3 linked regions of the Mus musculus genome follow. The protein of the gene in region 2 interacts with the protein of the main gene of each other region in a pairwise test. Links are inferred from orthologs where the notes say so. Each region holds a gene or a part of one and is shown on either strand. Other genes may lie near its edges.

Region 1 (3,647 bases), on a different chromosome or scaffold from region 2:
ATTGTGTAGTAGTATTTGTGGAGGACCCAAGCATGGCTTTGGACTGCTTTGACCAAGGGTCTCACTGCCTAGTCTAATCTTCAAGAAAACAGTAAAAGAATATGGTATTATCCGACAAAAAGTCAAAAGCATGCGTACTCCTTATCCTCATCTGAGCATACTTTGTATCTTCAGACGATGACACACAGATACACAAAAAGGGTAAAGCATACCTGTCATCCAAAACAGTAATGAGCTCACCATGTTTAAAGGTGAGCTCGTTGTCCTCAACAGCTTCAAAGTCGTATAAAGCTCTGACTCTCCGTGCAGCCTTGTTATTGAGCTGACTCTCTGCGGGTGGGTACAAAGCCTTTGTCTCCGTGTACTGCTGCTTCTGCTCTTGCAACGATAACTCAATAGCTAGTCGGGAAAATTAAAATGTAAAGATAACAGAATTAATTTTAACATCTAAAAGCTTTTTAAAAAACATTAGATAACAATATTCTATTTAAGGATAAGTCAAGCATGTGTTTCCTTGTGTTCCGAGACAGGGTCTCGAGTAGCCTGGAGCTCCCTGAGTAGCTGAGACCACCTCTCACCCCTATCTCAGCCTCTCACTGTGTTGGGACCTGAGGTACATGCCAGTAAGCCTGTCCAAACAAAAACTAAATGGTTAAATCCAGGCGGGGACGGGGACACATGACATTTTTAAAATAACATTTTTGCTCATCCCTTATTACCATCACAGTCTGTAATATACAGCAATTATTTTTATAGCAAACAGATTGTGACATTATAATATGGGTAGCTTTCCATATAGGACATTATGAACATACTTCTGTGCTTGAGTCATAACTTTGGCATTATGAAAAGGTGAAATGTAATCTCCCCAAAGGTAGAACATTAAATATATATTACTAAAAAATCAAATGAATTAGGTTCATCTTATGTCAGGTCTTTGCTTTTCCTGACTTTTAAGACCCTACAGCTTTTAGATCCGAGGTAGAATTAAAAGCCTACTCGTGGGTCTTCTAATTATTCTTTCAGTAAAACCTCCTGGTGAGACTATTTTCAGCAGCACCAAATGATGCTTGGCCACTTACCTTTAGCTATGTCCTCATCTTCTTTGTTTTTGTTCAATGATGTCCCGTTTTTGGCAGCAGCCGCGACAGTCTGTAAGCGTATGAATAAAATGAGCACAACTATTCTTTCAAAGGAAGCACAAGCTGTATAATTATATGTAGATGCTAATTAAAAAATACTGCTAACTCAACTCCATTTAAAAAGTGAGGTTCTTCATGATCATTTAAGTAGCTGTTCTGAAATACTAACACTAAACAACAGTTTTCAAGAAAACATAAACACATGAAAGGTACACGCTGACTAATATTTTACATAAATCTAAGTATCTGACATAGAACTTGGCATAAAGAAAGAAATGCAATTTTTACAGAATGAACAGAACTTGAGTCTCCGCTGCTGAAGGTCTTTTATGCAGAAGAGGCACTCACAAGCTACTGGCTCAGAGCTCAGACAGAAAGAAAGCACATCTCCTGGGGTACACCTCAAGTCCTTGGCTGCTCACTACAGCAAGACCCTCTGCAGTTTGATGGCCCTTGGACAGGTATGCAGAGCTCTGAGCCATCAACAGTCCTTTAACACTCATTTCTGAGAATGGCAAGCAGAAATGACAGATAGGCTGCTCTTTATTACTTATTAGAAGGTTGCACACACATGTACACAAACACACGCACACACATGAGTACAAGTAAACAAAACTCCTATCCCTTGCTAGCTCTTGTATAAGTACCTTCAGCCATGGTCTGAATAAACCTCTCACCTGGGAGCCTGCGGAAGGAAAAGTAACCCCTTCTTCTTTCATAGACTTAATAGTTGCAGATATCAGACTAAATTGGGGGTCCTTCTGGAATTCTTCTGACCATTCCACCATTAGAGATTTTAGTTTTTCACATACTTTAGGATGAGCCTTTTAGGGAAGTGGTAAAGAAAAGGGAACAAAAACAAAACAAAACAAACAAAATCCTGAGTTAAAGTAAATAAAAGGGCATGGTGCCAAGTCTGGCATCCCGAGTTTGACCCCCAGAACCATACAGTTACGAGAAAAGGTGACTCCCACAAGCTGTCCTCTGACCTCCACACACGCACTGTGTCATGTGTGTGTGCGCGCATGTACATATATACACTCACAAAAAATGAAAACAAATTAAATTGATTAACAGAGAATCACCACCAAAAGCTAAAGAGAGACACAGGGCAGGCATCTCCAGAGTAGCCCAGTAACTGACACATGCTTAGCTTATTCACATTGACAGGTACAGCTGCTTCATGAAAAAATAAAGTAAATAAATAAATAAATAAATATCACCCTTCCAGAATACTTATTGCTCAAATGACTAGAAATAGTTTATATCAATGGCTATTTGCTCTGTTTTCTTAATATTCTCATCATGAGATTAGGATTTTCGCATCAACTTCAACAGCTGCATGAGAATGCTGCTTCAGAGTTTGTGTTTCAAAGAAAACAGAGGGGCCTCCACGCTGCTCTAATATAAAGACCTCGAAACACGAAGTCTAGTGGGAGTCAATATAGAAAAATGGAAATGTCTGGAGTCAAGACTCACAGACACCTAGACCCGAGTAAGTCATAGACAGCCAGATACCCCTATCAGCCAAGCCACTTTCTCGCTGTGTGACCTTGGCAAAGCCAAGCTTCAAGAGTGGTTGTTAAAAATAAACAAGGCAGTCTACATAAAATGGTCAAAGCAATGACCAGACCTCAACCAAGATGAGTTCTTACCATAATATATATACACACACAATTATATATATATATATACACACACAATTATATATATACACACACACACAATTATATATATATATACACACACAATTATATATATATATACACACAATTATATATATATATATATACACACACAATTATATATATATATACACACACACAATTATATATATATATACACACACAATTATATATATACATATACACACACAATTATATATATATACACACACATATATATACATATACACACACAATTATATATATATATACACACACAATTATATATATATATACACACAATTATATATATACATATACACACACAATTATATATATATATATACACACACAATTATATATATACATATACACACACAATTATATATATATATACACACACAATTATATATATATATATATATACACACAATTATATATATACATATACACACACAATTATATATATACATATACACACACAATTATATATATACATATACACACACAATTATATATATATATATATACACACACAATTATATATATATATATACACACACAATTATATATATACATATACACACACAGTTATATATATACATATACACACACAGTTATATATATACATATACACACACAATTATATATATATATATACACACACAATTATATATATACATATACACACACAGTTATATATATACATATACACACACAGTTATATATATACATATACACACACAATTATATATATATATATACACACACAATTATATATATATATATATACACACACAGTTATATATATACATATACACACACAGTTATATATATATAT
Region 2 (4,094 bases):
TTGAACCAAGGCTCTCCAGTTCTGTAGTCTGGCTGCCAGCAAACAACAGGGATCTTCCTATCTCTCCCATCCCAGCACCGAAATTACAGAGGAGGATTTAGGAGGCAGGGCCTATCTGCTAAGGGTGGCCATTGAAGGTTAACTCTATTCCTTGTCTCTGATCACTCCCTCTTCTCCAGCCTGGTCTACTGTAATGTGAGTAGCATCGGCATAGCTTCAGCTGCCATAATCTCAACAGCTTTGCCAAATCTTTCCCACGGAGATGGACTGAAACCCTCTCACACTGTGACCCAAAATAAACCTTTTCTTCCTGCAGCCTTTTCTGTCTGCTACTGTGCTCACATTAAAGCAAGGGGATAAAATGTAAGCCATGCATGGTAACATACACTTTTAGCCTCAGCACTAAGGAGACAGAAGCAAGCAGATCTCTGTGAATTCAAGGCCGGGTGGGGCTACACAGTGAAACACTACTGTGAGCTTGTGTGCGCTCACGTGTGCGTGCACCCCCCCACCCCCCCCACACATGTACGTTGTAAGAATGTTTTTTTTTTTTTGTATGTGTGGGATGAGTTGAGACAGGGTCTCATTGTGTATCTGAGGTTGGCTTCAAACTTCCTATGTCTCTCAGATTAGCCACATTTTTTTTGAGAAACTGTTCAGCCGTAAAATGTGCTGGGCTTGTGGCACTATACTCATTTATGGGCCGCTGGGTATGAACCCTGTTTTCATGCATGCTAATGTTAGCCCTCTAACAGCTGAACTGCAGTCTGGCTAGTTTTTGTTTTTTTGAGACTGGTCTCACTATAAAGCCTTAGCTTGCCTGGAACTGTTTTAGATCAGGCCGATCTTGAATATACGCCTCTACCCTCAGTACTGTTCATCATATAATTTTATTCAAATTATAAACTTTCATCAGCTACATAACATACAAATGTTGTCTCCCATTCTGTAGGTTGTCTTTATGCCTTGACTTTGGTGGAGGTGTAGTTGTGGCTGTTAGAAACAAAGAATAATCTCTCCCCTCCCTCTCCCAGGCCTCGCGGCTCCAGAGTCCGCCTCCCGCCCGACCTTTTGGCCCCGCCTCCGCGCGCCCCGCCTCTCGCCAGCCCACTCAGGTCGTAGCTTCATCCCTACTCCTCCTGCCTCAAGGCTGTTACTCCTCCCCTCCTAGACCCCACCCCATCTGGCCCTTTCCAGCAAGCCACGCCCCGAAACATCTCCGCCCCCGGCTCGCCCTGCCTCCCCGGAGCCCTCCCGGCCCGCGCGCGCGGCCAGAGCAGACCTCCCGGCTCGACTGGCGGCGCGGGCAGCGGTGAGTGCGGCCCTGCTGGGTGCCCGGTGGGGAACACCAGATTCGGGGCGCTGGGCACGGGGCGGCAACAGAGGCGAGGGTCGGGCTTTGCCACCTGCCTAGAGTCCCGGGGCACCGCGCTCTCCTTGGGGGGCGAGCAGGGATGTCGTGGGACCCGGGGTGGCGCGCTCTGGGCGGGATTGAGGGCGAGGGGTCCCAGCAGTGCGGTTGTGTTTGGTTCTCAGTCTCGGACTACCCAGCTTCCGTCCGAACCTCACCAAATGATGCCCCTCGGGCTTATAGGAAAAGGCGCGACTTTCTCTAGTAACCTTTAGTATCTAAGTTGCGATTTGGAGAACGCCCCTGTGTGTACTCTGAAAGCAAAAGCGAATAGAGAAAAAGTAGAGTAACTTTCCAGATGCTCTTTAGCTGTTCCGGGCCCACGCGTCTTTTGCTCTTATCCCTGTGAGTTTCACACGGGTTCCCAGACCGGTGCGAGCGTATCGGAGAGCAGGGGAACTTCAGGATCGCGGAGTCTAGAGCCCAGGCGAAGGAGGACGTGACCCCCGCCTGTCCTGCCAGCCCAGTTCTTACTTCCCAGTGGTTTCCAGGTCCGTGTGGGTCTAGACGGTGCTTTTGATCGTCATTCGGTATCGTGCCCCCAGCTTTCCGTTGAGGTTTAAGAGGAAGAGGTGAGGAGAGCATGGGTGTGTTTTAGAAAGGGTCGTTTGGACATTCCCTACCTAATACTTTGTCGGGTTTGTGCTTCCGGAGAGTGAAGCTGATGTCATTCTCTGTTGGACTGAGCGGTAGTCATTGGGAAATAGTTTGTGGAAGTCACGGGGCTCTCTAAGCTCATCCCCTTTTTGCTGTTTTGAGACGGTCTTAGATAGTCCAGGCTAGCATCCCAACTCCATATGTAGCTGAGGCTGGTCCTGGACTTTTCTGCCTCCACAGTGTTGAAATTACAGGGTTGTGCCACTGAGCCGCTCCTCCAGCCTTTTCTGAATTAAACCGTCCTCCCCTGAGTGAGCTGAAGCTGGTTCAGGGACTCCTGGACTCCATATTGGAGTCCTTTGAAGGAAAATCATTTCTACCACTAGGTGCTTGCCTCCTCTTCTGCCCTCCGCTCCAGCCTTCTCAGATTGGCTCTTTTAAAGTAGAACTAATGCAGAGAGAAAGGAGCTGAGTGGTATCACTAATTCCTCCAGCGATTGGCTTTATCAGTTGGATCAGGATCCAGAGGGTGTGTCGCTTGCCTTGCCTGACCTAGAATAACACCCATACTTCATCTTCTCAGCCAATCCTTGTTCTGCCTTCTAAAGGTGTTCAGGCCAGCTCAGAAATATTTGTTGTAGATCTACTTACTGTGGGAGAGGCCCATTGTCCTCCTTCCTATTCCACTAAAGGCATTAATAATGAATGGTTTTATTCCTGCCTGAAAAAATATCCTTATGATAGTTTACTGAATCAAGTGACACAGTGATTGGTATCAGATCCACCCAGTGTCTTGAGTCTCTAAGATACTAGACTCCCTAGATAGTAGCTCCCTTCCTTTGGCGGATACATTCCTTTGTCCATCAATACTTTTATGGCCTGGCCGTAGGAGGGGAAAGGGCTACCCCTTGTCCTTTGAAAATGCTGAAAAAATGGCTCCTGGCCCTAAGTGGCTTATGCTATGGGCGAAAAGCAGGCGTGCTGTTGAAAAGTTCAGAGCTTAGCTCAGAATCCCAGCTTAGGCAATTGGGAGATGTTCCTAGACAGGGAAAGTTGTATGGGAAAGCTGAGGTCTGAGCACACTGCACATAAGCAGAAAGGTCTCAGCAGAGCTGCAGCAGAGGTGTAGACAAGTGCAGGATGGAACACAGTAAGAGCAAAACCTGCTGAGTGGAAGGGGCTGGCCATAGGCAGTTCCTGCTTTCCTGCCTTCCATTTAACCCAGTCATTCCTACTGATGTCGGCCTCACGCTGAAGTGAGAATGGGCAGAACCCCTCCCCCCACTTCAAGTTTTCCTGCAAATTTCCCTGAAGCTCTGGTGAGGGTGGAAAGTAGGAGGAAGCCCTGGAGTCTTGGCACCAGTCATTTGTATTTTGTTTGTTTTGGCTTTCTGCTGCCATGAAAATGGCCCCGGGAACCAGGTGGCTTATATCCACAGGTAAACAGACCCTGCTCTGTGTGTCGGTCTCTGCCATTTGGCCACCCATGGCTGGCTCTGAACTTGAGTGGTGTTTACCCACTGTGGAATTGGAGTTTGAGGTCAAGTGCTGCTTCTGGGGTCCTCATAACTTTGTTTTATTGTTGAGCATTTCAGTCTGGATAGTGATGACAGCATTAGACTCACTGAGAGTGTCACTTGACTACAGGTCTTTGAGAATTGTGTGTTATTTTGTTAAGTTTGTAGACAAGAAGGTATGGCCCCTGTCTCAACATCCTAAGACTCACATCCAAAATGCCTTCAACAAAAGACACATTAGAACAAAGACATTGAAACACAATTTGTTTGTACACAGATGGTGGGGCTGAAGCCAGTCTTTTTGCTCAATCTTTTTTGTTGTTGTTGTTGTTGTTTTTTGTTTGTTTGTTTGTTTTTTCGAGACAGGGTTTCTCTGTATAGCCCTGGCTGTCCTGGAGCTCACTTTGTAGACCAGGCTGGCCTCGAACTCAGAAATCCGCCTGCCTCTGCCTCCCGAGTGCTGGGATTAAAGGCGTGTGCCACCACACCCGGCTTTGCTCAATCTTTTTGGCCCTCTGTAAATTTCATTCTCCTGGAGATGGGGCAGGACTCCAAGGTTCTAACAGCTA
Region 3 (4,229 bases), on a different chromosome or scaffold from region 2:
CATCCCTGGTGTGACCACTCAGTGGGTAGGTTGCTACACTAAGCCTATCACTCAAGTCAGATCCTGGGGTCCACACGGTAGAGAACAGAATCTAATTTGCTTTCTGACCTCCACAGAGTGCTGCCGTATGAACACAGTCCCACACATACACACAGGTACAAAATGTGTGTAAAACGTTAAAGGAAAGTCAAGCCTAGAGGCCCACGCCTATAATCCTAACAGTTGAATGGAAGAGGCAAGAGGCTCAGGGATTCAAGGGACTCAGCGACATAGTGAGTTTGATATTGTCATTAATTAAAACATTGCCTAGTACAAGTGAGACTTGTACTGGCTTCTATTGCAGAGCTAGATGGATAGCACCATCAAATTGCTTAATGCTTAACGGTGCCACTAGTTCTGTTAGTGAAGAACCTGTAACTTTTTTCTTTGCTGAGGAGCACTTCCCAGTCTGTAGGTGCTCCCAGAACAGGATGGGAGGAGTGGACCCTACCATAGTTGAACAAAGAGCATCTGTTGGGGTTTCTACCGAGATAAGGTGAGAACGAAGCAAAGTTTGGAAAGCTCTGGGGAGATCCTCGCAATCACAGGCCAGTATTTGGGGACCCTCCAGAACGGTCCTCCAGAACGGGCAGAAAGGAATGCACGAGGAGGGGACTTCGAGGACCACTAAGGCCGCCATCGCGGGTCCACACTGACGCAGAGTTCCCCAGCAAGCCGGTGAAGCATGGTGTGCAGCCATGCTTCCCTTGATCTGCCTTTCCATCCCCTCGGGAACTCGTGGCGCCGGCTGGACCGCAGGTCCTACTGCTCAGAAACCCGCAGCAGAGAAGGGCCCAGGAGGTGGCGCTTCGAAGTAGGGTGGAGTCAGCAAGGGCTGGTCTGTGGCAGCCAGGCCCCACCCACTAGCATGACGGACAAGCCTTCAGAGCAATCATAGTGCTTTTATGGTCCTGGGGGGTGGGAACAAAGGAAGAGTGACGGATGTAGGGTGGAGCCAACAAGAAAAGGTTAGGGCAGCCCATCAAGCCAGCCTGTTGACAGATAAGTCTTCAGACCAATGACAGTGCATGTAGAGGCCTGGAAGGCGGTGCATCGATTATGGGGCGGAGCCTAGGGGGCAGGTTAGGACAGCAGCCCACCAGGTCCTGCCCACTAATGATAATGGACAAACCTTCAGACCAGTCATAGTATGCGGACCGCCCTGAGGCGGGCAGCGGGTGAAGTGAGCGGAGCGCCTCCGAAGTGGGAAGAGGGGTGTGGGGAAAAGCCTCTTGGAAACATGGGGTGGGTTCTGAGGGAGATGGACAGCGCTGTCAACCAATGGAAGACGGAATCTGTCCCCGTTAGCGCCGGATCCCCGCGGGTAGGGAGGGGCGGGAGGCTCCGCGGGGATCCCGGGGCGGCCGAGGGCCCCTGACTCTGTTCACCCAGACAACATGGACCGAATGGCCAGCTCCATGAAGCAGGTATCCAACCCGCTGCCCAAAGTGTTGAGCCGCCGCGGAGTTGGTGCTGGGATGGAGGCTGCGGAGCGCGAGAGCTTCGAGCGGACTCAGGTGAGATTCGAGAACCCTGGGGCATCCCTGGGGCACTTGGAGTGATGCAGGGTGCAAGAGAGGCTTGGAAGGGAGTGGGACTTGCAGACTCGGGAAGGAATTAGGCAAGGTGGCTGCGATCGGAATCATTTTGGGGTAGGGAACTAGGCGGGTCCCAGGGAGGTTCGGGATCTACCTGGGCATCTCCACTGGCATAGGGGTCGGGGTGCACTCTGGGGAACTGCAGATTCCTGCGGCTGAGGGGACGGTCTCAGTGAGCACCATCAGGGGTCACAAGGGAGGCTAAAGGGAGTTGAAAGGGGACTGACGGAAGGGTGCTCCTGGATAGGGGAAGCACTTGGAAGTCGCTTGGTTTTTGCCAAGTGTGGGAACGCCAAGGTGGGGGTGTGAAGGGTGGCTCTGGTCGCCTTACTTTAGTATTGACTCTCCCTACACTTCCCAGCATCTCGCTCAACGGTGCCTCTAACTTGGCTCTCAGCAGCCCCAGCTGTTGGCCTCAGAGGCTGGGCCAAAGGGGTCTGAGTGATGGGAAGGACCGTAAGAAATGTGAAGTGTGGTCCAACTTGTAAAATGGCCCGGGGGTTTGGAGGAACGGGGACGCGCAGCCTGGGGTAGGAATTGAGGCGCTTGGATTGTCAGAGCTTTGCGTGCCGGCATAAGCTGTCCAGTGATACTCAGACTCCTGATTTGAGGTTTTGCTTTCACCCTCCAAAATATGCCTGACAGCTAATAAGCAGACCGCCTGCCTTATTTGTCTGGTCTGACCAGGGCAGATGGCCAAAATTCCACCGCAGTTATCAACAAAAAGCCACTATCCAGTTTTACCTCAGGCTTTTATGCATGCTGTATTGATCGGACTGAATCAAGTTGTGAGGCTCGGGGTGTGTAGTCATCAGTTCATCTGTATGTAAAATCTGTTTCTGAGAGTACAACTCCTCGGATCCCACTGCGGATGCCGGGCCGGTAGATTTCTTCTACTCTGGCTCTCCGAGTTCTACTTTGAAGATCTGAGTTGACTTCAGCCAGAGGCAGGTCCCCTGTCGTGTTCTGTGAGTAGGAAAGATGGAAGAGATAGGGAGGGCCTGTGTGTTCTATAAATGGACCTTGCTCGGAAGAAAGCCTTTTCACCCCAGGGGACTTTACACCACCTCTTGTTTCTGAGACCCCTGGGTCCACTTCTTGTGTCTGAGGGGGGAAATGGGGTAGTTGTACCCCGGGAGGGGAAAGAGAGACCACCGTCCACTTACCTCTCAATGTCTATAGAGTTTGGAGCTTTTTAAATTTCTCAGATCTTTTGAACCTTGGGCGTTGTTGCCAAAAAAAAGAAAAAAAGAAAAAAAAGTTTTCATATCCCCCCCCAACCTCTTTTATTTTTAAACTGAAAGAAGAAAATAAACTGGAGCTATTTTATAGCATCCGACTTAAAACTGAGGCAATAAGTTAGACATAAAAGTTTGAGCTTACGGCCAGCGGAGGTGGCTAAGGGGTAAAGGCTCCTGCCAACCAGTCTGGCCACCTGAGTTTCATCCCAGGAAGGGAACCAACTTGTCCAAGTTGTCTGCTGACCTCCATACTCAAGCCGTGCCATGAATACCCCTCCATATACATACACCCAAAATCACTTTTAAAATGTTTTTTTTTTTTTTTTTTTTTTTTTTTTTTTAGTTTGAACTTAATACAGAGTGATAGAATTGAGGCACTTGAATGTTTCCAGCCATAAGTAACATTTTTCCTAGTTGCCCAACAGGAAGACTGGTAGGCAGTGTCTAGTTTTACCTTCTGTAGAACACTTGTTATGAGCCGTGTGTATGTGTGTGTGTGTGTGTGTGTGTGTGTGTGTGTGTGTGTGTGTGAGAGAGAGAGAGAGAGAGAGAGAGAGCACTGAGATATTCTATAGCAGAGCTTTTCAGTTGTGGAAGTCTCCCCCCAGCCCCCTTTTTTTCTTTTTGGTTTTTCAAGACAGGGTTTTTCTAAGTAACAGTCCTGGCTGTCCTGGAGCTCACTTTATAGACCGGGCTGGCCTCAGACTCACAGAGGTCCTCCTGCCTCCTGAGTGCTGAGTTTTTTGTTTGTTTTGTTGTTGATGTTGTTTTTAATTTGTTTGTTTTGTCGCTGTTGTTCTGTTTTATTTGAGTGAGAATCTTATTATGTTGCTCAGGCTGGCCTGGAACTCAGCTGTGTAGACCAGGCTGGCCCTCAAACTTTCATTGGGAGACAGAGGCAGGAGGATCCTTGCAAGGCAGTGTGGTCTAAGTAGCAGTTCCAGGCGAACTGTGGCTATACATATTGAGACTCTATCTCAATCAGAATTTCAATAACCCAAAAATTAAAACAAACAAACAAACAAACACACTGGTGTCTTCAGAGACTAAGAGAATCAGCGTGGGTTTTATAATAATTGTAGCTAACTACTATGTTTGGAGGTCCTCTAAGTACAGTCCTTGATTTGGTATCTTTAATCTTCTCAAGAGCTGATGGAGTGGTTATCAACCCCATTTTGCTTAGAGGAAATTGAGGCCTACCGAGCGAGGTTAAATAACTTGCAGGGTAACACAGTTGGAAGTGGTCCCAACCTTTAACCACATCCCAGCTACCTCTGAGTCCTGAGCATCCCCGGAAGATAACTGAGTTCTCTTCAGTTCCTTTTGCCTTGAGACAGAGTCTCGTGCAGTT

The links.
Region 1: the proteins of Litaf (region 2) and Stam2 interact in a two-hybrid assay, tested with the Homo sapiens proteins (4 studies listed by BioGRID and IntAct). The two-hybrid records come from large-scale screens. The link is inferred for Mus musculus from reciprocal best matches to the Homo sapiens genes LITAF and STAM2.
Region 3: the proteins of Litaf (region 2) and Hip1 interact in binary tests that used the Homo sapiens proteins (3 or more experiments, as listed by UniProt). The link is inferred for Mus musculus from reciprocal best matches to the Homo sapiens genes LITAF and HIP1.

What each region holds. Positions count from the first base shown.
Region 1 is NC_000068.7:52,714,606-52,718,252, forward strand, and holds part of Stam2 (signal transducing adapter molecule 2), read right to left. Parts: intron 1,967-3,647; coding exon 1,820-1,966; intron 1,153-1,819; coding exon 1,083-1,152; intron 400-1,082; coding exon 213-399; intron 1-212.
Region 2 is NC_000082.6:10,990,264-10,994,357, reverse strand, and holds the start of Litaf (lipopolysaccharide-induced tumor necrosis factor-alpha factor homolog), read left to right. Parts: upstream 1-1,236; 5' UTR 1,237-1,312; intron 1,313-4,094.
Region 3 is NC_000071.6:135,542,264-135,546,492, reverse strand, and holds the start of Hip1 (huntingtin-interacting protein 1), read left to right. Parts: upstream 1-1,370; 5' UTR 1,371-1,436; coding exon 1,437-1,556; intron 1,557-4,229. UniProt on the Homo sapiens protein: Plays a role in clathrin-mediated endocytosis and trafficking. Involved in regulating AMPA receptor trafficking in the central nervous system in an NMDA-dependent manner. Regulates presynaptic nerve terminal activity.